Danio rerio: one gene and its partners. The protein of the gene in region 2 purifies or fractionates together with the protein of the main gene of each other region. This does not show direct contact. Links are inferred from orthologs where the notes say so. Each region holds a gene or a part of one and is shown on either strand. Other genes may lie near its edges.

What was found.
Region 1: the proteins of sap18 (region 2) and sf3b1 purify together in Homo sapiens (co-immunoprecipitation; 3 studies listed by BioGRID and IntAct, with this or other methods). This does not show direct contact. The link is inferred for Danio rerio from reciprocal best matches to the Homo sapiens genes SAP18 and SF3B1.
Region 3: the proteins of sap18 (region 2) and ssrp1b fractionate together in Homo sapiens (co-fractionation; 3 studies listed by BioGRID and IntAct, with this or other methods). This does not show direct contact. The link is inferred for Danio rerio from reciprocal best matches to the Homo sapiens genes SAP18 and SSRP1.

What each region holds. Positions count from the first base shown.
Region 1 is NC_133184.1:33,852,371-33,860,062, forward strand, and holds the start of sf3b1 (splicing factor 3B subunit 1), read right to left. Parts: upstream 4,808-7,692; 5' UTR 4,782-4,807; coding exon 4,754-4,781; intron 2,982-4,753; coding exon 2,806-2,981; intron 2,698-2,805; coding exon 2,596-2,697; intron 2,468-2,595; coding exon 2,353-2,467; intron 793-2,352; exon of another isoform or gene 735-792; intron 187-734; exon of another isoform or gene 132-186; intron 1-131. UniProt on the Homo sapiens protein: Component of the 17S U2 SnRNP complex of the spliceosome, a large ribonucleoprotein complex that removes introns from transcribed pre-mRNAs.
Region 2 is NC_133184.1:22,881,006-22,888,680, forward strand, and holds sap18 (histone deacetylase complex subunit SAP18), read right to left. Parts: upstream 3,047-7,675; 5' UTR 2,932-3,046; coding exon 2,860-2,931; intron 1,999-2,859; coding exon 1,889-1,998; intron 1,808-1,888; coding exon 1,685-1,807; intron 1,609-1,684; coding exon 1,452-1,608; 3' UTR 1,129-1,451; downstream 1-1,128. Other genes in the region: uncharacterized protein zmp:0000001333, read left to right, coding at 3,184-3,361, 4,094-5,439. UniProt on the Homo sapiens protein: Component of the SIN3-repressing complex. Enhances the ability of SIN3-HDAC1-mediated transcriptional repression. When tethered to the promoter, it can direct the formation of a repressive complex to core histone proteins.
Region 3 is NC_133176.1:47,970,925-47,978,516, reverse strand, and holds part of ssrp1b (FACT complex subunit SSRP1), read right to left. Parts: intron 7,350-7,592; exon of another isoform or gene 7,334-7,349; 5' UTR 7,313-7,333; coding exon 7,259-7,312; intron 7,173-7,258; coding exon 6,987-7,172; intron 6,890-6,986; coding exon 6,784-6,889; intron 3,979-6,783; coding exon 3,785-3,978; intron 774-3,784; coding exon 673-773; intron 554-672; coding exon 424-553; intron 1-423. UniProt on the Homo sapiens protein: Component of the FACT complex, a general chromatin factor that acts to reorganize nucleosomes. The FACT complex is involved in multiple processes that require DNA as a template such as mRNA elongation, DNA replication and DNA repair.

The DNA of each region.
Region 1 (7,692 bases), about 11 Mb from region 2:
AGCACTCATTACAGTCAAACATTAAGAACAGGCAGGTACAAAGAGGTTTCTGTTGCTTTTAAGAGGAGATAAGGAGAGGATATAGCCATCACTGATGCAGGGTCCTGGGCTGTGCTCTCCAGAATACGTACACTTTCAGTGCCAAGGGTCCCTCTGCAGTCAGACTTCAACCGGCAGAAAAGAAGCCTAGAAAATTTCTCTTTACCATTAGTAACACTTTGGAAAAGGGTTTGTACTCACACACAAAATAGCATACCACCTATTCTGCTCGTCACTCATTTACAAACAAGAAAAGGGGAAAACCATGTAGTATTCAAAAACCGACTTAAAAATCATATACATTTAATAAACTATAGGTGTTACAGTCAAAGACACTGAACACATTGGGGAGTTCTAATCAAATCAGAAAAGAAACAAAATATCAGAAACTAATCAATGACTTAAAGCACACTTGTGTGCATCTGGTTAGATTAAATAAAATTTAAACTAAGATGAATTTGTCTAAAAGTAAGTTGAAATGAAAAAAGTGAATATGGAATTTAAAAAAAGTCCCCGATGAGGCTTTAAAAATAATGTGAAACATAACAAAAGTAAAACTAAATCAATAAAATAGCTTGATGAAATCATGGTGCATTCCCCCGAAAGGCTCTCTGGCCTCACATCAGAGCAAAAACTACTAACTATGGTCTTGATTTATCTGATAAACACGCTTCTTTTTGTTGACCATAACCTACACAGGACGAGTTGCTGCACCCTTAAGAGAGTGCAGACAGGACTGGCATAGCAGTACTGCTGTAGGAGAGAAATTAAGGACAGTTAGTATGGGCCTGTGGAATCTTGGTACACAGATTCTTCAATAGATATATCTCTATTTTATCATTATAAAATAGAAATATATTTACACAACAGTTTTTGTAAAGCTTCCTCTGTCTGGGACTACATGCAAGATGATTTGCCTGATCCAGAATTATTGCCCTCCCATAATTTGGTCCCAAGTGAGTCAGTTTTGTGAGTGTGCAGCCTGTTTAAACATGATCTAAACTTCTTGTAAAATTGTACTGGTATGAGCACCCACAGGCCATCGGTTTTAAGATACTAAATTATCTGGACAACATAAATGGAGTTAAATTTGGCTTCACAGGGCTTTAAAGCTCCACTCTTATTGGGAATCATTACTGACATTGACACATCAGGGGTGTCTAACCATTGAAAAATATGCAGGCAATAGTATGGGGGGAAAAATAAATCTGACAGTATGCTGTCTCTGGCAATTAGAAACTTTTCATATACTACACAGTGTCTGTGTTTAAGTTGCCTGACTACTGTATCATCTGTTTCACACATTAAAAACATTAACCCTTCGAACAACACACCTACCTGCAACCTATGCCATGATGGGACCAATGACACCACCCAACCGTCTCCCAAAATCTTTGCTGCCCAACTTAAACAAGTACACATATAAATCCATCATCAATATTTTTCAGTACATTTCATTTATCCACTTATGCCTTACTGAGACAGTCTTAAAAGGGATATTTCACCCAAAAATTATGTTTTGAATGACTTGTTTCAAACCTTTATTTTGAAAAACATTAGAAACCTGCAACCCTTGACTTACATAGTGTTTGTTTTTCCAACTATGGAAGTCAATGGTTACAGATTCTCAGCTTTCTTCAAAATATCATCTTGTGTGTTCTAGAGAAAAAAAATCTTTGAAACCTCTTGAGGGTGAGTAAATAGTAAGAAAGTTTTCATTTTGGCGTGAACTATCCCTTTAAGGCCCTGATATTGCTTAAATGAAATTGAAGAACAAAGAACTCAAAACTACTTTCGAATAAAATCTTAAGTTCGTTTGAAGTTGCAACACTGGCACTGTTGTTTGTCACGTTTAATACTGTAAAGCCGCTTCCTTTAAAATGATTTAATGTATAAACAGATATACAGTAAATCTTTTGATTGAACTGTAAATCCCATATAAATATCCTCATTATTAGATGCTGTATTCTTAATTCTATAATTTATATTTATTTTGTTAAACGTGCAGTACACCATATATTATTATAAAGAGTGGCCTGAGTGGTTTAGAATTTACTAACAGAACAGAACTGTTCAAGTATTTTACACTTATTTTATCCTTAAATGAAAGTTTTAAGAAAAATTCAAAGACTTCGCTGAGCACATATCAGGGCCTTTACAGATCAGTCCAGGGAGCAAGCAGTTGGGTGGTGTTCGAAGGGTTAAGCAGCAAAAAAGGCCGGTCTGCACCGGATCGTCATGGGCAGAGAACATAAATACTGATTGGCATGGGCAAATAAAATAAGCAGAGGAGAATGGTAGTGTGAAATTTACCATCAGCAAACGGGTCATGACGCTCTGGGGAGATGATCATCTTTTGTCTGCGCTTCTTGTATTCATCCTCCCTGTCTGAAATTTTCTGCGGTCTGTGTTCGGCAAAGGGATCATACTGCAAAATGGGTACAAACAATTGTATGATCAATTCGAAATTGACATTTCAAAAACACATACAAAAACTTCACAAGAAAACACACACACACACACTGCAACTTGAAGGTGGAAAGTCTGTTAAATTACCTGCTCATCTGACTGAGGAATTGAGTTGAGTATTGCAACCGGAGCATGATATCCTGGTTTCTTCTGTACAAGGAGACTTGTAGATGAATCCTCGTCATCATCCTAAAATAAAAATAGTTGGGGTTAGGTTCAAGAAACTAAACAGAATTCTTATACACAATGGAGTTGTATTTTTTGTTTTACTTTTAAGAGCGTTATGCTATAACTTACATCCTCCTGCTCATTGGCAGCAATTGAAGTCAAATACCCATCAAAGCGGCTGTCACTGCCCCCGTAGATCTCCTGGTCATAATACCCAGTGGAATCAAGGCCAACTCCTTGGTCACCGCCCTCCACCACCAGAGCGGCTTTCTTCCCCTGGATTTCCAGGATCTGAGCCTCAATGTCTACAACAAAAACAAAAAACAACAACCAGAGATTAGTCCTCTAAAAATAACAAAAAACATTTTAACTAATATTATAATAGGTGAGGTGACCTGGAAGTCATTTTCCACCATCACTAACGTCACTTTTATACATGTTAGGCATGGGACAATAACCTTTTTCAAGGTATACCGTGGTTTGGAAATGTCAAGGTTTAAAAAAAAACACCAAATTTTTCTGTAACGTAGGATTTTTTTTACGTTTCGTTTTTTTAGGACAACAGTATCTCTAGCAGAAAAAAAATCTCCAAAGATGCCAAATTTAAATTTTAAAGAAATCTGTTTTTTTTTTTAACTAATGAAGTCTGTACCTATATATATATATATATATATATATATATATATATATATATATATATATATATATATATATATATATATATATATATATATATTGTGTTCAAAGTGAAATGTTTTTGTTTTTTAACAGATATTTAAAAAGAACTTATTTTAGAGCAGTAATTGCAAACTTTTATCCAAGGTTATCATACAGTCGGAACCTTTAATACACACTGACATTAAACTGCATATTCTATTAATAGAACAAACTAAGGTAAATCTGGTTTTATATTTTTATATTTATATTATGGCCTGTATATTGTTTACTGTGCTATGAATATTCAGTCTAAACTAACACAAGAGATTTAATCTAACCCTAAAGAATAATAAAAAAAACAGTAGCACTATTTAATTGACAGTCATATGCCTTCCCTACTAAGAATTTGCAAAAATTCTTTTTCTGAAACTATATTATTAAAATCAACAATCGATGAGTTTTATATGCAAAAAATCTCTACATGCCGCTTGATATTCTTCTTCAATTAGCATTTTTCTCTAACTCCTGTGTGTAGGCTCAGTAATGTTACTGTTATAGTAATGAATAAGTTATTTTCATTGACTTTAAAGTGAAATAACAAGGAGGCTGAAACAAAATTCTCATTTTAGGAGACAAGTTGGCATTTAGAGATTTTTGAATCCTAACTCTTCAATTTAAGACAATGATTTGTAAACCATACATGCACAATATTAAGACAAAAAGAAGTCCCTACATACATATAAAATCCTTACAAATATTTATAACTAATACGTGAAGGGAGATGTAACTTATATTTTATTATTACTTAGGTATTGTCATAAAAACATTGCATAATGTATTAATATAACAAAAGTGCGTAAGCCCGCTTAACATAATGACTGTTGCAGGACAATCACCCACGGCCATGTGTTATACATAAACATGGAAAATGCCAAACGTTAAACAATGAATACAAGTTACATCTCTACAAAAATAAAATAAATAACCACACTATCACAAGTAAACGTCTATGAACATACCTACATAATGGAAAAGCTCTGTTTGTGTTTGCAACGCCATTTTGGTTTCAATACATCACTGATTAACCAGTACATCTTCACATTACGTAGTCTACATAGACAAAACAGACACATGCTAATGCTATTTTCTAGCACTGTATATTACAATTAGCTCTGCTATAATCCACAAAAAAACTCTTAATGCGGAAAAAGCGCTGATATTTTATATGTGCGCCACGGCCAGGTTTTATTCAACGACCAGACGCCATATTCTATTCACGGGCTTAGCCAGTTCTAATCCTGCTCATTTCTCGCTTAATGCACTTCTTTTAAATAAAAAGTGGCATTAAGCACAAAATGCAATATATAAAAAACTACAAAACGAGACATGCTTCTTGCAAATATTTGAAACCTAAACTCACCATCATGTGTTTTGGCGATCTGCGCCATTTTCGTGCTGTTGTGTAAGCCTCACTACCGGAAGGCCTTTCACGACAGCGTCTCGTTTACAAGAACGCGCATGCGCATTCTCTGCGGCAGAAAATAACGCACATGCGCAGAGCACAAGCACTAGGCGTCAACACAGCTGGCAAGTGACAGCATTCTCTTGTTAAGTTTACCCCCCGCTCTGCTTGAGGAAAGAGCCACAACGGAGTGGAGGATTTTCCAAATGTTTGCTTGTTGTTTTTAGTTAGAGACTCTAAGGTATAGATTAACAAGATAAAATGGAATAAGGCTATTTATGAACCAAACAACTTAATTAATAGCATATTTATGTGGCAAAGACCAAACTTTTTTCAGGAGGAATGAGAACAGGACAAGTTTACTTGTGTCTCTTTCGAAACATTAATTCATTTTCTTTTTTGGGGGGGGTTAGTCCCTTTATTAATCAGGGGTCTCCACAGAGGAATGAACCGCCAACTTATCCATCATATATTTTATGCAGCGGATGCCCTTCCAGCAACACAACACTAGGAAGCCCTCTTGCATTCAAACACATGCACTACGGTCATTTTAGCTTAAATATTTTAAATAGTATTACATAAAAACCGTGCTCTCTGTTGTTTTGAATGCTTATGTTACAGGCGCATGTAAGACAGATTTGACTGCAGTTTTAAAAAGCAGTATGGTTACATAATCAGGGGGTTTTAAATTTGAGTTAAGGAAGTTTTAGCTAGGGGTTCTATGGAAATGTTTGGGGGAAGGAATGGAGAAACTAGTACATATAGTAGTAATAATTAATAATTTAAATAATAAAAAATAAGTAAATATTTAATAATGTAACATAATAGAAACATAAGCATATTCCAAATACTATTTTAGATCTATTTATAGTATGTTCAACATGTTCAATGTATAAATTTGGTATTTATTCCAGAAACTATGTGGTCTGGGTGTCTTACATTTTAGGATGGGGTCTTTTGCACAAAAATGATTATATTTTGTCTTTATTATCATGAAGTTTAAAATGTATACATGTGTAATTACTTTACATTGTGAAAAACTGCTCCATATTATATTTAATTGACTTAGGACTAACTTATATTACTATCAAATTCTGTGACGATAACAGTAATGGCAACAGTAGTTTAGTAGCAATTTCATTGTAACTTAACTGGACAGATATGCATAAATATTATTTAATTTACATATTTGTTAATTATAATACTTTATAGTAAGCAAAACTTATTAATTCGTTTACACTGACTGTGTCCTCAAACAAATTTAGCAGTAACCTTTACTAACTATGCACTGTAGGTCGCGCAGTCTGGGCAACCCTATCCTGCATCCCGTGACAATTCTGCGCACGCAAACCCTCTGCACAATTAAAACACTTACGTCAGTGAGTGTCATCGATGACGGACGGACGACTCAACGAATCAGAGGCCGTGAAAAACAGCCTCGGCCAATGACATTGTAGGACGGGTCTTCGAGAGGGCTGGTCTTCGAGACGGGAAAAGAGTTCTCGACGGGAGGAGGCGAAAGAGAGGTGAAGTGAAGATGGCGAGAGGCTCCCGGTGTTTGAGGAGAGCGGTAGCGGAGTGTATCAGAAACTTACCGTCCACAGCCGGTCGAGAAACACCAGGGAAGAGTGGAGTGAGGTAATTAAAGACGGTTTAATGTTTCGCACTGTCTCTGTGCGGTTATCTGAAGACTAAACTGAGTAACGCAGTGAAGTAAGTCGCGAGCTTCTGACGATATTTGGACGGTTAGTTTCGCTCTTACAAGTGGATCCTGTTTAAGGCCAACTTGACAAGTTTATGTAAATGAAGACCTTATTAATAGTTCAACAATGGTTTAAACATTCTGACGTGCTCTAATAAGTGTTTAAAAAACTTTAGAGGGAGGGTTGGGTGGGTGGGAGTCACATATCTGGTTGCCAGATAAAGTGTCAGTAGCAAGGTTAAGATATTATGTAATTGTCCAGGTGTATCTAGCAAGCGCTTTTCTCATTTTTGCAATGACCGTTAATGAGCTGTATACAGCTAGTGTTTATTTAATACAGCTCTGAAATCACATACAACTAAAGGGAAATTGCAGAAAAGTGGGAGTTTGTAATTTTTGAAAAAGCTGCTCCCAAACAGTATTTAGCTGCTTTTTTTGTAAACTAGCTACATATCAGACACAGTCAGTAGTTTTTATTAGGGAAACAGTAAACTTTTAGAAGTGGCACCCTTCATGTGCATATAATCCAAAGGTGAGTCCTTTATTAAATTTTCTCCTGACACCTTTGCAGGTATGAGTTCAAAGAAGACTGCTGCATATCTGACGTCACTAGCTAAGCTGTGACGTTTATTACCTGTGGTCAGGGACGTAGTGTACCCATACCGAGTGCTTGGCTCTGCCAAGTGCTTAAACCAGTTGCATAAGGCAGGCCGTCTCAAGTGTCTGATGGTGACTGTTCCATCACCATTGGCTGACACCGTTACGCCATGCTTAACAGCTCTTGGCAACAGTTGTGCTAACATGAATGAATTTGGCTGCCTCTCTTTCCATTGAGTAGATATTGTGCCATTTATAGAGCAAAGCCCCATCCCATTGCATTTCAGTGATTGATCTGAAACACGTTGGACACATTTTATGGGATGGGGTGTTACTACTGCCCTTGACTTGATTGGACTGGTCAGCGAATCAGCAATCATGCTCTCCTTGTGATTTGTGTCTTGACAAATGGAGGGCAGGTGAACATGTCATGAAGTGCTATATTTTCTCCGCATGAAAGAACACTCAGCAACATATGATTTTGTAGTTAATGATGAACTATGTGAACCAAGAACTACACTAATACACAACCGCTTACGTCTGGACTGCTTTTGTGGTCTGATTTGCATGGCCGGTTGCTTCACAGTTGGCTTTTTTT
Region 2 (7,675 bases):
CACTTTTATTACGACTTGAAAAAAACTTAATAAATAATTTTAAAAAGCTTAAGTACAATTATAACAATCCTTGCTACAAATGCCAGCATTACTAGTGAATGTAGCAAACCTTTGCTCATCTTTTTATTGGGAATATGTTCATGTAATTTATTTGTTTTGGTCTTAGATTTAAATGCCATTTAAAAATGCTAGGTACACTATATAATAAAGACACTGTAGCTCACCCAAAAATTAACATTTACCCACCACCAGGTGTTTCCAGAGCTCTAGTTTTTTTTCTGTTGAATACAAGGAAGATATTTTGAAGAATGTTTAGAAACCGTAACCCTTGACTTCCATAGTAAGAAAAACAAATACTTTGGAAGTCAATGGTCAAAGGTTTCCACCTTTCCTCAAATTATCTTCTTTGGTGTTCAACAAAAACTAAGAAACTAAAACATGTTTGTGAAAAGTAAATGACAGTATTTTCAGTTTTGTGTTAACTATCCCTTTATGACTAGTTAGATCAGGGGTGTCCAAACTTAGTCCTGGTGGGCCGGTTTCCGGCTGAGTTGAGCTCCAACTTGCTTCAACACGCCTGCCATGAAGTTTCCAGGTCATCTAGTAAGCACTAGATTAGCTGGTTCAGGTTTGTTTGATTAGGGTTAAGGCTAAACTTTGCAAGACATTGGCGCTCCAGGACTGACTCTGGACACCCCTGAGTTACAGTAGATAAAGCCAGATGGACAAAATGCTTTTGCAGTTTAACCTAACTACAATAAACGAACATACAAATGCCAACAAGGCCAAATGGTTACTTTATAGCTACATGTTATTTTGGAAATTTCCCACATTTTCTGCTACTGAATGTGAGGTACGGTTCAATAGTAGGGTTGGGGTAAAGTTTACTGTGCGAATACTATACTTTTAAATTGTAAGTGTACTTACAATGTACCAACTTGTACATCTTCATATTCTGCACTACATGGAAAAAGTACAAAGTAGTTAGAGACAACTATAAAGTTACTAAAGCTTAATCATTAGTGCATTCATTCTGAGATCTACTTGCTAAATTGAAATATTTATTTAAACAATGAATACTTCATTTAACTAAAAAAAGGTTTATAAATGATACGACTTTAGACAAGATACTGAAAAAAAAAAACATTTATTCATGAATGATTTGAATCACGCTAACAGGACTAGAACTAAAAAGGTAGATCTGATAAAAAACTCCACAAAGAACATAATATATGAAAAGACTTTCCTTTTTACTTCCAAATCGAGATTATCAGCTCAATCATGCTGCTATTCTGCATAAACCTTCCTGCAGAGTTTAGTTCCGACATAAACACTCGATCAAATCAAAGTCTTGCAGTTCACCTGAAAAGCTCAGACAAGGGCTGAACTAAACTCTGCAGGAAGACAGACTTCACCCCTTTCATTTAAATGCAGTCAAGTGTTGTTTCAGGTCAGTAGGGCCTCATGCGTCCTTGGAGAGGCGGTGCGCGGTTAGGCGGAGTGATGGCAATGTCAAGATAATCTCCGATCTGAAAGCTTTGTGACTGAAGCGTCATCGAGTCATCTGCACCTTTGCGCCCAGAAACTGTGTTGCCAATTTCTTTAACCCTGCAATAAAGCCAGTGGAGTTATAAAAAATCCATAACAAATCTTAACACAGTATTAAGAACTGTGTATTCATTACCGGTAGATTTGTCGTTTGGGGTCTGGGTAAACAATGGCGAATCCAAAATGTGTGCCTTTCTTCCGAGCTTCCGGATAGACTTCCTTCACCAGGCTTGTCAGTTCTTTTAGAGTAGCATCCATCCTGCAGCCAAGGCATATACAAATCAGGATTGTATGGTTCAGTTGATCATTGATGCAGTGCCTGTTTTATAATAATACTTACCAGGTGTAAATCTGAAGTTCACTAGAGGGCACGTTCCCCCGGGCAAACTCATCCATGCGATGGTGCCTTCCATTGTTGGTGGTGAACACTCTCAGGAGAAGTGGGCATGTCTGCACAACGAGCACAACAAACACATGTAGAAAGTATTAATAACAATGTCTTTTAAAACAATCAGACATGCAGATGTGTCTGTGCATCCAATATAATGGTTATTAAACAGTTGGCACAGGATCGTTAGGCAGGAATCAAACTCGGGTCACCGAAGTGCATGTGTTGACGCACTAACCACTGGTGCAGATGTAATCTCATTTCTTAACCAACATCAATTCTGATAATAACTACAAAAGTAGTTTTAACACTAAATTGATTTATGAGAAATATACTTTTCTGTGCAGATTTTTAGAGGTTATTTGTCTTTAAGTCGACGATCAGAACAACATTTGTATTACTTTAGTTCATTTGGCCTGAAATGAAAACATGCTCAATTTTACTCCAAAACAAAACTGAAGAAATGTGCCAAAAATATAATGTTAAACATTTTTTATATAATTGCGTTTTTAAATGGAAGCCTGTTAACAAAGAGTATGTGACTTTTTACTTAAATGGCACTGGGATGGTTAAATATTAGTCGACGTTTTTTTACCAGTCCAAAACAGAATCTTGATAAGAAAATGGGTAAAATATATTAAAAGCTTAATAAAAGCAACTTTTTATTTGCCAGAATGTACGCTATGCTACATTAACAGATAAAATGAGTACAAAATAAAACAAAAAGGCCAAATGTCTAAAAGGAATGCACACGGTTTAAGATACGATTTGTAGTATAACGTTGCAACTAGATATTTTGTAATGTTTCTGTGTACCTACATTTTTAGTTAGCGTTAGATTTACAAATTAGCTTAGCATGCAGGACGCCTCGTTTGTGCACGAATATTCGCGCCACTGACGAACAGAAGTAACTGAAAACAAACCTTTTCTCTATCCACTGGCTTTGTTGGCTCTTTTTTGATCTCCTCCTGTGTGACCCTCGATTCCACAGCCATTTTTATCTTATTTGTTGAAAGAATAAGCGATGAGTCGCTGTTCACGACGCCAGTAAACGCTCGATCGCGGCGCGGTGAGATGATATCATCATAGCCAAGACAGCGAGGACCAATCACGACCGACCGGTTACGACTAGTGAAATGACGACACACTCGTGTCGCCTACTCTCCCCCACCGCCATTTTGGGAGTCAGATTGTAAATATTACTAGTTCAGGAAACCAAATACGTCCACTAATTTGGTGGCATTAATATGGTGCACACTTGCGTAGTGGCCGGTTGTCGGAACAGGAGAACTCCAGGGACCGCGTTATCCTTTTACAGGTTTCCCCGCGACCCGGAGCGGAAGCAGCGCTGGATCGCTGCTGTGAATCGTGAAGGGTGGGTGCCAAACGAGGGCAGCAGACTCTGCAGCACACACTTCATTTCAGGTAGGGTAACATCTTATGTGGTGCATATAGCATGTGTAGGTTAGCAGTAATCTAATCTCTGTGATGGTTGTAAATATGTCTAGTAATGTGTTAAATGGTGATGAAGCCCTGCCTGATGCCTACATTACTCTTACTGTTATAATGCACTTTAGGGCTTGGGTTCAATACAAATGTGGACTAAGCTATTATTTTTGGGGGGGTAAACGCATGGTATTGCTCACTAAATTAACATGTGAAAAATGAATGCGCTGTTTTTCTTTTATATTTCTTGATACAACACAATTTAATATGCCCTATAGTAAAATAATTATAATGTGTGTGTTTGTGTATAAATATATATATATTAATAAGCCATTGGTGCCATCTGGAGGGAGAAAACAGATTATATGTAATAACACATTATAACCACTAGATGAATGTGTAAAAATACTGTATCAGACGATAGTTGCTTGTAAGAGTTTGCATTTGTGTATTTTAATATTTAGACTTCATCAAAGACTAATTGTCTGTGCTTGATTTGGACAGTTACTGATTTATACTGTGTTTTAAAACTGTCTGATGCACTGAAGTTGTACAAAGAAACGCTTATAAATTGAGTTGCCTGGTGAATTTGCACATTGTTTTTAAGTGTCTTATAAACCATAACATTTTAATTTATATAAATTATTAGTTTTTTTTAAAGAACATGAATGCACTCTTAAATACATCAATGTTTTTTTTTTCCATTTACAGGAAAACAAGTGAAAAATCCTCGATCCCCTGATTTTGTTCCTTCAGTTTTCACCTCAGCGCCACTTTCCCCAAATATGAAAGAAGCAGGTTCTTGTGAAATGTATGATAAACAAGAGGCACAAGTGGAGGCCGCCAATGCTTTGCTCTTTTTGCAAGGACAAGGGCGTTTCTTGGAGGAAAATAGCCAGATGACAAGTCAAGAAGAGCCGGAGAGTGTTTCCTCTTCACTGAGCAGTTGTGACGAGGAGGATGTTAAGACTGAAGATGCTGTAAAAGAAGAAATCTCACAAACAAGCGTACTCCAAAGAGGACAACCAGTCAAAAACATTCCCCCTGACTATGAGTCCAGTCTCGAGGCTCTTAAGAAAGAAAACATGGAGCTGAGGGAATCGCTAGATAAGATGTCTCTCACTGAGGCTTCCTTTAGGAATGATCCAGAGAAGGTTCGCTTTTACACAGGATTGCCGAACTACTTTGTGTTCGAGACGGTCATGTTGCTTCTCATTCCACATATGAAAGGAGACAAAAATGTCAAACTCTCCAAATTCCAGCAACTTCTCTTGACACTAATGCGCCTCAAGCTGGATCTCAGAAACCAAGACTTGGCTTATCGTTTTGGAGTCAAGGTTGCCACAGTGGCCAGGACTGTCCATCGGATTATTCACATAATGTTCACCACTCTTGTGCCAACTGCTGTTTTTTGGCCCTCCAGAGTAGAGCTCAGAAAAAATCTACCAGCTGCATTGTGTTGCACATACCCAGACTGTGCGGTGATCATTGACTGCTTTAGGGTGTCTCTGGAAAGAGCTCTCAGTGTGGATGGAAATCAAGATGTTGCATCTACAGCATTGACCACACCAGTGCAGTCCACTGTGAATGAGCTTAAATATGTCATCGGTGTTGCTCCTCAGGGTGTAGTCACGTTTGTTTCCAGAGGATCTCCGGGTCATGTCAGCGACAAGAGTCTAGTTGAGAGTTCTGGCCTTCTCTGTAAACTCCTGCCTGGTGATGTTGTTCTGGCAGAGCGTGACTTTGACATTGGGGGCTTAGTAGGTGCTCGGAAAGCCGAACTCAAAATCACTAGTAGCACTTACTTTGAAAATAGCCAGAGCGGACTGGATGGAGATTTCTCGCCAGTTGGAGCACTATCAGATAAAGCGATTGCTCATATGCATGTTGGAAAGGTAATAGACATTGTTAAGAGGAGATATTCCATGTTAACTGGACCAGTGGAGAGCCCCTTTACAGTCGTAGACCGCACTTCCAATGTGAGCACTTTTGATAAGATTGTGCAGGTTGCTTGTGCCTTGAATAATCTGTGCATTTCTGCTGCTCCCCTGGAATGATATTTGCCACACTTTTGTAAAAGTCACTTTTACTTGTACCATTGCTGAATGCACCTTTATTGTTTCTCTATTATTATAGAAGACATTTTCTGTTCTTACAAGAGGGATCAGAACAAGGACTGGTTTACATCTGGTGTTAAGATGCATTTTGGTCAATCTGATTAGAAGTAGACGAGGGAGACACATTCACCGTTATACCTGCTGCTTAATCCAGCTGTTTTGTTCACTTTGAACCACTTTCTTGATTTTTTTAGAGGATTTCAGTGTAATACTTTGCAATAAGCTCGCACATCTAAATGAAATATAATAGCAGACAGTGGAAAATGAGAGCAAAGAACAGCAGCTTTTGTTTCTGCTACAAAACTGCAGAAAGCTGTTGGGTTTGTGTTAGAGTCACGACTGGTAGGAGAACTACTGGTAGTTGTAGATCAAAGCTTAAAATCTTATCCTCAAATTCATGCATTTACAGCCAAAAGTGAATCTGTGTTTAAAAAAAACTTACAGTGGCTGAGAGACAAAAATAAAAAAAACTGCAAATAGAAATGCTAACAAATTGAGAAAAACATTGTTATGCACTTCAATTCACACACATGCACGCAAATATTTTAACGCATCTAAATACTGAAATGCACTACAAGTTAAGAAAACCTTTCATAAGGAAAAACACTAACATATTAAGAAAACAAAGGGACTAAGCTGAAAAGAAAATTAATGAATATTAGAAAAACATCTTCGCTTTGACTACACACATGTGCACGTAAATTCTCACAAGGCATACAAATACAGAAACGCACTGCAAACAGCACAGACTACAACAGAAATTTGTCGGGGGGAACAAACAAGAAATCATACAATTAGGACATTAACATAAACAAAACAAACTCAGAATTCTGACAATTTTGCATCCTAAAGTAGGATTGTCACGATGCTGGAATTTGAAAAACGTTCATTTTCCTCGAACATTTGAGCACTGTTGAGCACGTTCTGATTTGCCACTGTGTTCAAGTGCTCAACAGAAATGACTGTAATTGGCCGTGAAGGTCATTGGTTCACCGAACTCATCGCAGTTTACTGACATACATTTTTTCCACGTACATTTGAGAGCTGTTAAGCACAATCTTTAACAGCGCTGATTTGTCATTGTGTTCACATGCTCAACAGAAATGACTGTGATTGGCCATGAAGGTCATAGGTTTACCAAACTCATCGCTGTTTACTGCGTGTAACCACAGATACAGAGACACTGGAGCATTTCATAGTCGCGCCTATCAGCTGGTTGGTCTATAAGCTGACATACAAGTGATCCGTTGATGAATCGCTGCTTTAAAGCGCTCCAGTGTCCCTGTATCTGTGGTTACACGCAGTAAACAGTGGTGAGTTCGGTAAACCAATGGCCTTCAAGGCCAATAACAGTCATTTCTGTTGAGCATGTGAACACAATGGCAAATCAGCGCTGTTTAAGAAAGTGGTCAACAGCGCTCAAATGTTTGAGTAAAATGAAAAATTCCAGTTTTTTAAAATTCCAGTACAGACTGGTATTGAATTTTGGTATCGTGACAACCCTACTCTAAATAAGAAGCAGCGGGGCTTGTGACTTTTGTGTTGTCAAACGGATGAAGATGTTTTCTCAGTTTGTTATTGATTTATATATGCTCAAGCGCACTTAAACCATTATAGAAACTAGAAGTGGTGTGCAGAATGAAAGAATTTAGGGCTTTTTTTCACAGAAACTGAACAAAATTGCTCAGGAAAAGGAACAAATCAAAACATTTACATTTACACAGCGTATTTTGCTTCATGCAAATGATTAAATACATTCCCTTCATTTGTTCTTAAAGTTATTCCAAAAGTCTAATATTTTTCTTCAACACCTTCAAACCAAACTTACTAGCTGAAATCATGCCTGGTTAGTGTACTTTAACAACACTAACTATAATGGTAGGTTGAGGATGAGGTGTTTTTATCTGATTTTTATTTGCATTTGTCCACATGAGCGTCTACATTTATGTGTTTGGACTACCTCTGGATGTGGTTGATAGTTTACAAAGTGTTTCAGCCTCCATTCACACATGCATTTATCATCGTCCATTTGTGATCAGATTGACAGAAACGCATCTTAATATCAGCTGTTAACAGGGCCTTATGCAACTTAAGGACCAGTTCCAATCATTAGTTAGGCACAGTTCACTGGACAATCTTCCCTCTGTGTGTGTGTGATTTTGTTTTACGTAAGGAG
Region 3 (7,592 bases), on a different chromosome or scaffold from region 2:
CTTCAAGTAGTTACCACCCTGTCTTACTATATATATTGACAACACACAACAAAAATAAATGAATGCTATGATAAAGCTGTTTAATACTAGCTAGAAAAAATGGATCCAGATCCATCAAATTTGTATAGTTTTAAATTTGTGAACACAAAAAAATATGATATGACAATTAGCATATCACAGTGAGCATAAAAAATACATGTAATAGCCATAATGCAGGGAGTTGTGCAATAATAATCACAACCGCAATAATAAAAAGGGCTATCTTTGAAAGAATGAAAGAAATATAAATTATGAAAGAAATATAATAAAAAATAATATAAATTAAGAAGATTTTTTTAATGTATCAAAGGTTAAGTAAAGGTAATATTAATGGTTCCAGATCCAAATAAAAGATTGCTTTATAGACCATGATCCTCCACTCACCACGAAGAACATTTGCCGCTGGTCTTTATGAGGCAACAGGAAGAGGCGGAGCACTGTGGTGTACGGGATCTTGTAGTCAAATGTCTTACCGTGTAGATGAAGGAATGTTGGATAAATACGGATATCGTACCTAAAGAGAGAGCAAGAAAAATCAAATCACACAATGCCAGTTCACACCTTTGACATTTTTATGTTAAATAAACAACCAAAAAGTATGATGAGAGTATCCAGATGTGTGTATGTATGTACCTGCCCCTAGGCGTGAGGCACTGCAGCTCTCTGAAGATACAAACAGCATCTCCTGTGGCCTGGATGACATCTGCCTTCGACAGCACATTCTGAGCAAATGCCTGAAACATAACGGTTTTCATTACTTCTCAGATTAAGCGGGATTTACAGATATAAATATTGTACAGTAGGACTACAAGAAGAGGGACAGAGGTTTTACGCAAATGTTTAGACGTGTCCCATTGCTTGAAGTCTTTTCTCTTATAACAGGCATCACCAAACTTGTTCCTGAAGGGCCGGTGTCCTACAGATTTTAGCTCCGACCCTAATCAAACACACCTGAACAAGCTAATCAAGGTCTTATTAGGTATACTTGAAACACCTAGGCAGGTGTGTAGAGGCAAGTTGGAGCTAAACCCTGCAGGGCACCGGACCTCCAGGAACGAGATTGGTGACCCCTGCCTTATAACATTTCGTCACCTTGGAATTGTAAGATTCTATCTGCGTTCTAATGATTTTGAGATATTGAGCTTCGAAGTTTTCGCATTTCATATAGGAAACAATATGCATGTAACAGTTCTCTTTCTTACATTAACATGACAGAGAGCCTAAATGTACTCTAAATGTAAAATATCAAAATTGTCTTAAAAAAAAAACTGGGTGAATGCAGATGCAGAACCTTGTAATTCTAAAAAGTCTTATTCTGCTTAGAATTATAAGGTTCTATCTAGCAGATCAATAATTGAAGCATTGCTTTTCAAAAATACGATCAGTCTGCTTATTAATTTAAAAAATAAAAACTGGTATGTTTTATTAAGTTGTTGTTATATTTTTGCTTTCTATGACTTTATTTAATGTTTTAGGATGAAACTTGTTTCTTGTTCAAATGAACCATACAAGGCTGTGCTAAATATTTTGTCCAGTGCAGCTGTTAATTGTACACTAAGAATTGCTAGGTTATTTACACCCAAACTGGGTAAAATATGGACTAACTCAAGCATTGGGTTTAATTTAGTCTTTATTTATTTAATTAAAAAATTAACTCTGCAGTTGGTTTAGTCCATATTACACCCAGCATAAGGCTGAAATACCCCTAGCATTTTTAAGAGTAAATGTAATTAATATGGTAATATTTATTGAATATATGCTTTATAAAAATAATTGAATTATATTTATTGAATTATATGCCGCATTAATTAAATTATCTAATATTTGCCCTTCGAGGTTTAAGATTAAATTTAAAGACTCTAAAAAAACGCAGACAATGAGTGAATGAGTTTTAATAAACACTGAAAAATGTTTCACTGACAATATATACACAAATAAAAATATTTCACATTTAATATATTACATTTTTTAAATAACTGTTTCTTTTTCAACAATGTAAAATTGAACCTGCTTCTAAATCATCACATTTACACACATCTTTTCAGTTTCAGGTTTCTTTTTAATTTTGTGAGGTGCGGCATAATTTAGTCGACTTGTATTGTGTTTCCTTCTGGTCTTTCCAGCTGTCGACAGAGCAATCTGGCGAAATGACAAAGAAAGCTGTTCCTGATTAGTCCTCGTGGGTGCATAAGAATGGCTCACAGAAAAAAACTTATAAAGCCAAGACAGAGTTCGACTTTGTAGTTTTGTAAATAAAACCTCTTCAAATGTAAGCAACTAAAAAAACATTCCATAATGTAAATAAGTTGTCATTTAATAAGAATATGTGAATAACTCAATTTTGACAAAAATGTCAGATAGAATCTTATAACTCTAAAGTGACAATATTTTAATGATCATTCAAAAGCTTTAAAAATAAATATCCTTTATGAAATCATTACTTTTGTATATGCCACATTTAAAGCTTTTAGATTGTCCCAACCAACCCCCCAGTAGGTGTCAATCTTCATATTACAAAATGCACTAGACTATTTTATAATCTTAAAATTTATTTAATCTTGAAAAAGGACATAAACATGCATTTGACAATCAGGACTCCATATTTAGTGTCTGTTTTGTAATAGACGTACTAAATGCTTTGACAGAAACTGATTGATTTGTGACACAGAAATGAATTTCAGTATCACCTGCTGTGTACTTTTATGTAACTGCAACTTTATTTTTAACTACAAGTTTTAGAACATACCTTAATTAGACATGGCCATTTAAGTTGGGATAGAGCCAATAAATGAATAAACAAAATAAAAAAAAAAGATATAATGAACTAATTAAAATAAATAAATACAACTCAGTTGATATGTATTGTATTACAGTTGAAGTCAGAATTTTTTGCCCCCCTGAATTATTAGACAGCTTGTTTTTTCCCCCCCCAACTTCTGTTTAACGGAGAGAAGATTTTTTTTCAACACATTTCTAGTCATAATAGTTTTAATAACTCATTTCTAATAACTGATTTATTTTATCTTTGCCATGATGACAGTAAATAATATTTTACTAGATATTTTTCAAGACACTTCTATTCAGCTTAAAGTGACATTTAAACGCTCGACTAGGTTAATTAGGTTAACTAGACAGGTTAGGGTAATTAGGCAAGTTATTGTATAACGATGGTTTGTTCTGTTGACTATTGGGAAAAAAATTGCTTAAAGGAGCTAATAATTTTGTCCCTGAAATGGTCTTTAAAAAATTAAAAACTGCTTTTATTGTAGGCAAAATAATACTAATAAGACTTTATCCAGAATAAATAATATTATCAGACATACTGTGAAAATTTCTTTGCTCTGTTAAACATCATTTAGGAAATATGTAAAAAAGAAGAAAAACTAATTCAAAGGGGGGCTAATCTGACTTCAACTTTAATTCTTAGTTATAATTAAAAATGTAGTATTTATTTATTTTTCATGTTTTTATTTTGTCATTTTATATATTGTTTAATTTTTTATCCGTCTAACGGTATATTGAGTAAAAATTATATTTTCCAAATAATATTTCACTAAATGTACGCAAATATTACTTGCATCTTTATAAATGAAATCTTCATACAAGGACCCAATGGTGATGGTTATATTTGGGCATCTCTAATTTTAAGACTAAAAAAGGCTCCTGCTTTAGGGGAATTGATCTCTTGGTAACCTGCGCCATCTGCTGGTCAGTGTTAGACTGGGATGAACATGCACACTCTTACCTCTACCGGGTCTGAACCCTCGTCCCCTGTGGTGGGTGGGACGTAGAAGCGCACCTCCATGAGAGACACCTCTGTGTCATCATTCTGATGAAACTCCACTGTCACCTCATTCTTACCCGTCGTACACTGGGATACACTGGAGAGAGGAATCTCAAATGTAGGGCTGTCATTCACGTCAAAGGAAAGCAACGGCCCTGAAAATACACAGGAGAGCAGTTTAACACATAGATGAGGCCGATTTTTTAAGCTGAGTTTAATAAAATACAAAGCTTGAACATGGTTAGTTATTAACAGTGTTTCATTGTTCGGCCCTGGGGTAACGTTCAGTGCTTGGCTGTATCAGAAGGAAGTAGACCTGTGCCAAATGACGACAGTATATAAATTTTTCTGCTTTAGCAACCCTGACAGAGTTACAGAGGGACAGAGAGCAGCCTTTACTGTTTCTATATAAAGTATTTCATTATATATTGTGGTCAACAGGTCAACAACTTAAAAATGTACCAAACTATGCTTTAAAAATGTATCATTACTATTATAATTGACACACACACACACACACATACATACATATAAATATATATATAGAAATATAGAAATAAATTTTTACTTGCATAGAGCTTGATACTGTAAGCCTCTTTTACTATTTGTTGCATTATAATGAATAAATAAATAATGAATAAATAGGTGGCGCAGTGGGTAGTGCTGTCGCCTCACAGCAAGAAAATCACTGGTTCGACAAACGACTGGGTCAGTTGGAATTTCTGTGTGGAGTTTGCATGTTCACATGGGTTTCTTCCGGGGTACTCTGGTTTCCCCCACAGTCCAGACTCCAAAGACATGCGGTACAGGTGAAATGAATAAGCTAAATTGGCCATAGTGTATGGGTGTGAATAAGAGTGTATGGGTGTTTCCCAATGTTGGGTTGCAGGTGGAAGGGCATCCACCGCATAAAACATATGCTGGATAAGTTGGTGGTTCATTCCACTGTGGCGACCCCAGATTAATAAAAGGACCAAGTCAAAAAAGAAAATGAATAAATGAGCCGATATATCCACTGTCCCATTAAGCAGGGTCTAAAATGAAAACATTTTTGAAAGCAAGGAAAAAACAACAACTATAAATCTAAGCTTTGTAATGGCACTGTTGTTATTAATAATGTAATTACGTTTATTTACACAATGTATATTTATTAAAATTATATTAATTGTATTATTATAAAAATAATATTACTGTTATATACTGTGCAATAGTATCACAATAATATATATTTTATGGACTTATTACATTTTTATAATTAATTGAAAAAAATCTAAAGCAAATTGTAATTACAATTGAAAGTAAAATGCTACACAGAATGCATTGCTTATTTTGTCTTACAATAAAGTCAGCTGGCGAAAAGGCGAGGCGAGAACATCTTGTAAGACATCTTGTATGTCCTGCTCTTAGTGCTCCAACAGCCTGAGTATTTACAACATTTACACTACAACATTATGTATTTACCTTGAATTAGCTACATCATGTTTAATAATATGTATTTTTGTATTTATTACATTTTTATAATTAGTTAAAAAAATCAAACATTTTAATTACAATTACCGATTCACATCACCATACATAACATACAAGAAACCTATTTTTATAGTGTTATTTTGCTTTTGATTATTAAAAAGCTTTAAAGATATGTTCATCGAAAGGTTCTTTGATATGGAGCGAATAATATGCCAAAACAATCTGAATTTTCTTCACTGTTGATGACCCCTGACCTACTTTTTGCTAAATCTGAATTTCACAATCTGATTTTCTGGTTTTAAAATTTAAAATATTGAATTCGATGCTCTGAATTTCTTCATCTTGAAAACTCAAAACTGTATTTTCACAAGCTCAATATCTGCAATCTATAAATTTAGAACGAAAAAATCTGAAGTTTGAAAATACGTCAATAGAAATCTGAAAAAATTCAGTTGTCTTAAATTTCAGATGTTCAATATTCAAGTTAAGAAATTCAAATTCAAACAGTTTAATAGCATTTAATATTAAATTTTATTAAATTACAATTGCTATTGTGATTCAAATTTGCACAATTTAAATTCAGATTGTTTTTCCATATTATTTGCTCCATACTTTTGGAAGACAAACATACTAAAAAACAGTGTTTAAGGTCACTACTGTCACAATCACCAGCGATCTAGACCAACGAATCCTGTCATGCACCTCACACACACCTGTTCCAGTTCTCTGTTGATTACACACACACACACACACACACACACACACTTTTTTGAGTCTTGTTTATCTGTGAGCATTACGACGTGTTTTCTCCCTGTTTAGCCTAGCTGTGTTTTAACCCTTTGTCTCTTTGTTTTGATTCTTTGCTGCTTGTTCCGACCATTCGCCTGTTCTATGACCACGACTCTGGATTCTCTGTATGTATCTGTTTTACCCTGTTGACTGTTGCCTGCCTGACCATTCTAGTAACAAACCTGTTTGTTAAAACAGAGCAATGAAATTTTCACAGTATGTCTGATAATGTTTTCTTCTGGAGAAAATCTTATTTGTTGTATTTTGGCTAGAAGAAAAGCAGTTTTACATTTTTTAAAAACACTTCAAAGACAAAGTTATTAGCCCCTTTAAGCTATTTGTGTCCGATGGTCTACAGAACAAACCATCACTATACAATAACTTGCCTAATTACCCTAACCTGCCTAGTTAACCTAATTGACCTAGTTAAGCCTTTAAATGTCACTTTAAGCTGTATAGAAGTGTCTTACAAATATCTAGTTAAATATTATTTACTGGCATCATGGTAAAGATAAAATAAATCAGTTATTAGAAATGAGTTATTAAAACTATTATGTTTAGAAATGTGTTGAGAAAATCTCTCTGTTAAACAGAAATTGGGGGAAAAAATAAACAGGGGGGCTAATAATTCAGAATGGCTAATAATTCTGACTTTAACTGAATATCTCAGACAAAAAGCGTTGCAACAGGAATGCACTGACCATTAAATTTAGCAGTGCCCCAATTCCAGCCCTTAACACACATGTCTTTCTCTGTTAGCTCCACTTTGTAGTTGTCTTTGAAGTATTCTGAGATCTTCTCAAGGTCCTGCGCAAAAAGAAACGGATGAAAATTTAAGACCTGGAATGAAACAGCGGATCAAACTGAGTGATCAATTGATCTGTAATTTGCATCTCAGACTCACTGCGTCTTTAAAGCCATCATATTTGTAGATGTGGCCAGTGCTGGTCCATAGTTTGATGCCGTGACCCAGACAGACTCTCCTCCACTGGGCCTGAGTGAGTTCAGGGACCGGAATAGTGTCCACCTTCCCGGTCTTACTGTTTTTATACACCACTGTCTGCTTACTGAAGCGCAGGCGGCCGTCATTCTACAAGAAAAGACAGTCGGTCAACTTTATTGAGAGTTTGATAGAAAAACACCTCAAGTTAGAGAACAAAACCTTTTTTAACTCACCCATGAGCCCTTGACCTCCTGATAAATTTCATTGAACTCCAAAGTGTCACTCATGTCAGAGTAGACAGAATGGACCTGTGACGTTTAAAAGCTGCGACAGTTATTAATATACATTATACATTATACAATTTCCACTGCAAATGGCAATATGAATGTGTTATGAATGATAGAAAACTCCCAGTTTACTCTGGTGTCAACAGTAGACTTTTATTATAGGTTGTTTTGGATGTAAAAATCTAGCTTTGTGCTTTAAGAAAAGCTTTTGCGAGTGTTATTATTTTGTGGCTGCACAGCGAGATGATGTCTAATAATAAACAAATAAAGCTAGCAAAGC